2 linked regions of the Macaca mulatta genome follow. The protein of the gene in region 1 interacts with the protein of each later gene in a biochemical or structural test. Links are inferred from orthologs where the notes say so. Each region holds a gene or a part of one and is shown on either strand. Other genes may lie near its edges.

Region 1 (3,500 bases):
TGACATTGAAAACCTACATTTGCCTATTATTCTCCATGCTTCCATGTAACCTAATAACCACCCAAACCACCAAAATGGTGGCCTCTAACAAGGCTGGGTTCTCGTACTGCTGGCTTCTTATTCTACAGCCCACATGTTTATATGCTGATAGATGCAAATACATGTAAGATTCTCTAAGGCCAGACATAAGTTCACTTGGCCTGTAACACAGCAGTGACCCTTGAAATGCAAGTACAAACTCCACATTTTTTAGTTTCATATTAAACATTTCATGCTTCGTAGGAAACAATTAATTTCATCTATTAAAAGAAACCAAATGAGAAAAACTCCAACTAAATCTATCACTCATTGAGTCTATAAGCCCAGAAAAAAATTTAACTTCCTCTTGCCTTGGTTCATCTACATTAGCTCCTGAATGGATACACTGGGGCAGGGAGAAAGCCATTTTCTAGTCTTGTTTCCATACAGACTTGAGTTCTTCTCCCTGAACAACAGGAGTAACAGTCCAATTTTACTATAACACCAGTTCTGAGAGAATCAGCTGAAGGAACAAGATATCACTTCAGCCACTGCGTCTTTCTAAAAGTTTCTTTCAGGGATGATACCTTAATTTATTTTTCCACTGCCTTTCTCTTTCTGCTAAAATACTAAGCATACACCAGGTTGGATAAATAATTGGCATTCAGTAAGTAAACTTATTATTATCTCTTTAATCCATAAAGATCTTTCTTAACTTTTTTTTTTGGTGTTTATTTTTTGAGACATGGTCTTGCTCTGTCACCCAGGCTGGGGTGCAGTGGCACTCCACAGAAACACGGTTCACTGTAGCTCCAACCTCCTGGACTCAAGCCATCCTCTCACCTCAGCCTCCCCAGTAGCTGGGACCACAGGTGTCTGCCACTGCACCCAGGTAATTTTTAAAAATTTTTTGTAGAGACAGGGTTTCGCCACATTGCCCTGGCTGGCCTCAAGTTCCTGGGCTCAAGCAATCCTCCCACTTCAGCCCCAAAAAGTGCTAGGATTACAGGCATGAGCCACCACACCCAATCTTAACAATCTTTTTAAGATAACATTGTTTTATTAATAATTGAGATGTTTTGAACAAAGGTCATTAATATTAAGAACTTTTGTAGATCATTTAGTGTTACAAGTTTCTGCGAATGTGAACATATACTATCAAATAGTTTTATCATGTAGTGTCCACCCTAAATCTTTCTGGTAAATAAGATGGGTTAAAAATAAATTATGTCAATTTAAAAATTTTAGTCTTCTGGATTTTTATTTTAAAATATTATTTCCTAATCTCCAGAAAAATTACAGTGTATTGATACTGAAAATGAACACATCTCCTATAACCTTGAAACCTATTACATAACGTGTTATTGCTTCTTTTTTCCCCACTATTTCTCCCATGACATCACAACCAGTTCTTGAAAAGCTATTGACTCTTAAAAGTTGAGCTTCGCATTCTTACCTGGCACCCTCTTTGCCCAGTTGATCATGTGAACCAGCTCCCTGTCTGCCAGGTTGGTCAGTAAGCCCATCATCGAAGCTTCACTGAAGGGTCTGGTAGGATCATACTCGGAATAGAGTATAGGGGGCTCAGCATCCAGCAAGGCACTGACCATCTGGTCGGCCGTCAGGGACAAGGCCGGGCTGTTCTTCTTAGAGTGCTTGATCATGAGCGGGCTTGGCCAAAGGTTGGCAGCTCTCATGTCTCCAGCGGACCCCACTTCACCCCTGCCCTCCCCATCATCTCTCTGGCGCTTGTGTTTCAACATTCTCCCTCCTCTTCGGTCTTTTCGTATCCCTGAAAACACAGGGGGAAGAAAAAACAATTAGTTTATTTTTTTCCCATGTAAACTTTTATACAAAAAATTTTCAAAGCTAACCGTCTTTCATTTTATTTGAAGAAATACTTTCAAGCACAGGTGAGCTGGTAAGTGTTTAACAAGTGGCTCTCCAAGAGAAGAAGAAAAAGACTTCTATTTGTAGCAGTTGCCAATTTTCATGGTGTAAATACTGCCACCATAACAAACTTCAGGCCACTTGTCTGACATCAAATGGCTTACAAAACTCCTGAAAATTGAACAGTAGGCTTTGGTGAGCCCGTACAAACTGACTCTGACACACCAGGTAGGGGTGTGTGTAGGTAATGAGTGTTATAAAAAGAACAAAATTCTAATTTTAGTTATTCTTAAAATATGATTTAGCATCAAAGACTACTTCTGCTAGGAATATTCTTTTAATAGTAAATTAAAAGGGCATTTTTAAAAGCATTTAGTCCAAGTAGACTTCTTAATGGGCAAGACTAAATAAGAATGACTTGCTCGTAAGGTATATTACAGCCTCTGGCCCCCTGGGGTGCTAAGTCCTTCACTGCTGCTAACCTGCTCCTCATCACCCTAGGATTACCACAAGTCCCTCAAGTCGTTTACTGGATTTTAAGCTTTTCACAAATGTGTTTGTTTTTTCCTAACATAAAAGTTGTAAACTTCTAAAAAGAGTTTGTTTTATTTGATAATTTCCCCCCAAAGGTTTACCCAGCTGTGGTTCTCACTAACTAAATTATGAAATGGGGTGAAGAGGGGTGATCCAATCTTTTTGCAGTGATTCTTTGAGGTTTGGGCTCAGCACCTTAACCTGAAAAAGGCCATACTGTGCTGCCGAAATGTATTAACATCTGCCAAAAACAACTATTTTAAAAAGACAAAGAGCTTCTATATTTTCAAAACAGTTAATCTCTCCAATATTTATCAGACAGCAATAATTCTTAGATTTAAATGAAGGAAGCAATCATTTTGATACAAAGTTAATACAACTATTTTTAATACCAAAGACATGAGAAATAAATGCTCTTTATAACATATCACTTGTTCTATCACTTTATAACAAATAACTAGTGTGAGAACTTTGTCTTGTTTTGTTTTAATTTGTAAACGTATTTGGACAAATGTGTAACTGAAATATATATATATATGTTTTATACATATAAATATATATATATAATATATTAAATGACACTTCAAAAACATAGAGAAGCCATGAACTCTTCCTATTTGCTCAGTATTAAAATAAGCATTTCTCATGAAATAGTAAACATTATAATAAAGATTATTATTAGTAATATGCATTCAGAACTTACTACATATTTTAAGCATTTACATACACTTTACATGGAAACACTTTAGAACTAATTTAGTTCTCACAATAATCTTGTAAGTTTGAGAAACCGTTACTTAAAGAGATGATCCAACTTGTACAAGATCATTCTCTATTAAGTATGATTCCAGATTCTGGCTCTGAAAAGAAGTTTGCTTTTGTTTTCAGTTAAGCAGAGATTTTGAATTTAATCTATTATGTAGGTACAAATTGAACAAGTTTCAGGACACTATGTAGGTACTAACTTAACAAACTGAGGGACATCTAAAAGTAAAAGATGAGAACAATGGCACCTGACCAGCCATTGTCCTTGGTCAGGCATTTCAACTTTTATTGCC
Region 2 (4,008 bases), on another chromosome or scaffold:
AATTCAATATCAAGTTTAATGACTTCATTTCTAAAATAAACTTTGATTTACTGCATTATAAAGTTAACAATTTTTCATTCAGGTAAAAATAATTTATATAAACACTTTCACTTGATAAAGAAAATACCAGCACTAGCCTTTTCTTACAGAGGAAGCTGGTGATATTTAAGGCATTTGTATGATTAGAAGCAATATATGGTGCTCAGTAGAGATCTGATAAACATCTATGCTAACAAAATAAAATGTGGGTGAATGGGAAAAATACTTTTGTTATATTGTAAGAAATTAATACAAGCATATTAAAGACTAAGAAAGTATATTAGGATAATCTAATAAAAAGTACATTTTACGCAAAGTAACTAAAATCCATAAATGTTAAACTGTATAATGAATACAAAATTATGGCATTTGTTTTTGTTTACAAAGCCACCCAGGTCCTTTTATAACACCCTAACTGAAACCCAGTATCTTAAAAACACATCAGGGAAAGCTTCCTGTTTTCTCACTATACACATAAAACCTATGACGTCCCTATTATATATGATGCTAAGTATATTATTGCATTAATAAACACATAGAACAGACATTTGTGATGCCTCCCAACTTTAACCATGAAGGACAATGTCAAATAAGACAAACATACTTTAATATAAGAAATCATTCTACAAAATTAAAAGTATTATAAACCGATGTCTCAAACTGCCAAGGTAGAAAAACTGCTGGTTTGACAACATTCCCTTAAAACACACTCTATCATAAAACTTCCATATTTTAATCAGTCTATTTACAGATTATTATCCTCTGTTAATGCCAATTCACAAGTCTAGTTCTGAAGAACTATGATAACTGAAATTCTGAAAGGAAACTAAAATTTTAGAATGAAACTTTAAACCAATAACTGGTTTTAAATGTAAATCTTAAAGTGTTATTTTTCTGGTTCCCATTAGTGACAGTTGGAGTCTAAGCAAAATGCACACTTCTGATTTGGTCTGAGAGGACGTTTAAGAGTTCTTAAAATTGTTTACGAAAACTTGAAAAACATGCAGGTAAAGCAACTCAGAGATAAAACTAGAAATAAAAAAATTGGAACAAACACATGAATACAACCACCACACAACAGGAAAAGTTTCCAGCACGGATACTTTTTTCTGACACACAAGAAAATAAAGTATTTGCCATCTCACACAAATATTCCACCAAAATCAACTGACAACGACAAAAGCAAGTTTGTACTCACTCAATTAGAACAAAACTTTGAAGGGGAAAATAATTAGAGGTAAATGTTAAGAATGAAAACCACTCTCAAATGCAGTTCTAAATCTTTTATGTTACAGACTCTAAAGCCACCCCAAAAGTGATAAGCAAGCTTCCGAAAAAGATGTCTGAAGAATACAAATCCTCCACCGTATCCTGTCCGTTGCATCCACTCCCACCTGCTACCACGTCTATCCACTTTACCGATATGGTCACGATGAGCGCTACAAAACTGCTGCCAAATAAGTAAATAAGAGCGCAACAGAAAGCCAGTAGGTGGGGACCAAAAAGTACCTTTAGAGGCACTCAGCCCCTTCGTAAAAGTCAGCACGTGTTTAGCTCTTTAAAACATCTCGCCCTACCAAACTCTACCAAGAATGAGAATTAAGACTGTCCTCTAACCTAACGCATGCGGATATTAAAAGTGGAAGGAGATTTCAAGACAGGTTTATACTAACTAATCCATTAGCCCAAGGCAGATCAGAGCTGTCAACAAATCAGGACCAAATCAGAGAGAACAAAGTTACAAATGTGAGAGGGTGTGTATGCACCGGTGCGGGGGAAGAGGATGGGTGGAAGGACAATTTTTAAAATGCAATCATTGAAAACGCGAGAATTCAAGTCCTCGGTCTCCCGACCGGCCTCCAAACCTCGATTCCACGGGCAGTGCCGGGAATGAACCTAATCCTCAGGATCGCAGGGATTTGGGGGCGGGGTGGGGCTGCCTCCCGCACCCGCGTGCCTGTGCGCCCAGCCCCCGCGATGAGGACGCGCTCGGGACACTCACGTTTTCTGCACCGGCTTCCGCCGCTTGCGACTGGCGTAGGTGATGTTGGCGCTGCTGCTGTTCATGGTGCCCAGCCGACGGCGGCGGCTACTCCCCGGGCACTGGCGGCCGGGTCCCCGGGACCTGGTGTCTGCCGGGACGACGGCGGCGGCAGGCGCCGGGTTCCGCGAAGCCGCGCCCGCTCCACCTGCGTCCTCTCCAGACAGTGGCGTGGGCGCTGCGCCTCCGCGCCTCGGCTACCGCAGGCTCCCGCAGCCCGCGCCAGTCCAGGTGAGCTGCCCGGGCCTGGCGCCGAAAGGGGGGGCAAGGGGCGGAGACCCGCGAGCGAGGCGGCGCAGGTGCCGTCTACACCGGCGGAGGCGGCGCGGCAATGCCCGCAGGTGAGGCGGCCCGGGCAGAGGAGGAACCTGGGCCGTCTATTTAGAATCCTGGCCTGGGTCGCTCACGGTGCCGCCGCGCTCCGTGACCGTAGCCGCGGCCCCTTGGGTGAGGGAGGCGCCGCCGCGTTGCTCCCGGGACTTCCCAAATCCTGGGTGCTTCCCGCCTGCGGAGCTCGGGGGCCAGCCACCAGTCCCGGCTGCTCCTAGCTTACGTTCGGCTACACAGCTGCCCCTGGTCTGAGCTGGCGGTCCGGGGCACGCTCTCGGAACAGAGCGTCGAGGGGACTCCCCAGCCGCTGCCTCCCGCCGCCGCGCGCACCGGCTGAATAGCACAAGCACCCCCGACCCCTCACCGGCCCCGCCCCGCCCAGATCCAGCGTAGCCCCGCCCCGTCCTGCTTGCCCCCGCCCATCTGGATTCCATTCCATCTTCCTTGAGGGCCCCACCCTCATCCCGGCACGTGATGACGCAGGACGTAACGACGCCCCCCCGCCGGTAGCCATCTTCGTGCATAGGCAAACTCATTGTAGCTAGACTATACAAAGTATATCAAGATATGCCAAATATAGAGCTTAACTTCGCCTGTTTGAGAGACGGTGGTTCAGCTGACTTGTGGCTAAGAATTACAATTAACTGGTAGACAACCAATGGGACTATATATTTTCCTAGTTGGGGAGGCTTCAGAAGGCCAGATTTCAGTTGAGACTTGCAGGCTAGGGGTTTTCTTGACCTTTTTTGGGGTGGGGGGAAGTCTTTTCAATAGACAGGAAAATAGATAATAAGGGGACTATTATGTGTTGTGTCATGGAGGACAATGTGGAAAAATATTGGGAGTAGTTAACAGTATTGAATGCTGTTGAGAAATTCAAATTAGAGGAGAACTGAAAATGTCATTCTTGTCTTCTCAGTGTGTAGTCATTGATAATTTTCGTGAATGCTGTGTTGGTGGGGTAATGGGCCTGCAAATAACATTGAAGTGGGTACAGGATTGCTGGAGATGATGAAATGGCATCCTCAAGCAGACAATTCTTCCAAGTTTAACTGTGGATGAGAGACACATCAGATGGTATGTAGGGGGAGTGAAGGGTTAAATGAGGGTTTTCTAGTTTTGTTTTGGTTTAGTTCTTTAATGGGTGATACTGAGCAGCTTAGAGGGGTGGAGATAAACTATGTAGGGAACCTGAGGGAACAGTTAAGGAGTGATAGATATTAAGATAGCGAAAGCAGGAGGGAATGAGTGCCAAAGCATAAATGGGAGATTAGGACTAATAGTTTAGATACTAACAGAAACAGCACTTCCAGTACTTTGCTGTTCAGAGTACTCCACAGCTTCTTATGAGAGTTATAAGAAATGCAGACTCTTTGGGTGTCCATATTAAATCAGACCCCGAAGTTCACAAGAACTCCCAGGTGATTCAAATGTACATAAAGTTGGAGGAGCAGTTCTCTACCATAGCTGGAGGAAAGGATGGTGGGTGAAATGTAGTAGGCTACTAAATTTTGGATCAGAAAGATGAAGGAGATGGAACAAAGGGTATTCTAGCATGAGCTACAAAAGAACAACTGTGTTTTGTGGTTGATGATCTT

What was found.
Region 2: the proteins of ESR1 (region 1) and AHR form a complex in vitro, tested with the Homo sapiens proteins (4 studies listed by BioGRID, with this or other methods). The link is inferred for Macaca mulatta from reciprocal best matches to the Homo sapiens genes ESR1 and AHR.

What each region holds. Positions count from the first base shown.
Region 1 is NC_133409.1:70,668,829-70,672,328, reverse strand, and holds part of ESR1 (estrogen receptor), read right to left. Parts: intron 1,811-3,500; coding exon 1,475-1,810; intron 1-1,474.
Region 2 is NC_133408.1:110,968,386-110,972,393, forward strand, and holds the start of AHR (aryl hydrocarbon receptor), read right to left. Parts: upstream 2,801-4,008; 5' UTR 2,312-2,800; coding exon of another isoform or gene 2,107-2,311; coding exon 2,042-2,106; intron 1-2,041. Other genes in the region: uncharacterized protein LOC106997514, read left to right, coding at 2,084-2,311. UniProt on the Homo sapiens protein: Ligand-activated transcription factor that enables cells to adapt to changing conditions by sensing compounds from the environment, diet, microbiome and cellular metabolism, and which plays important roles in development, immunity and cancer.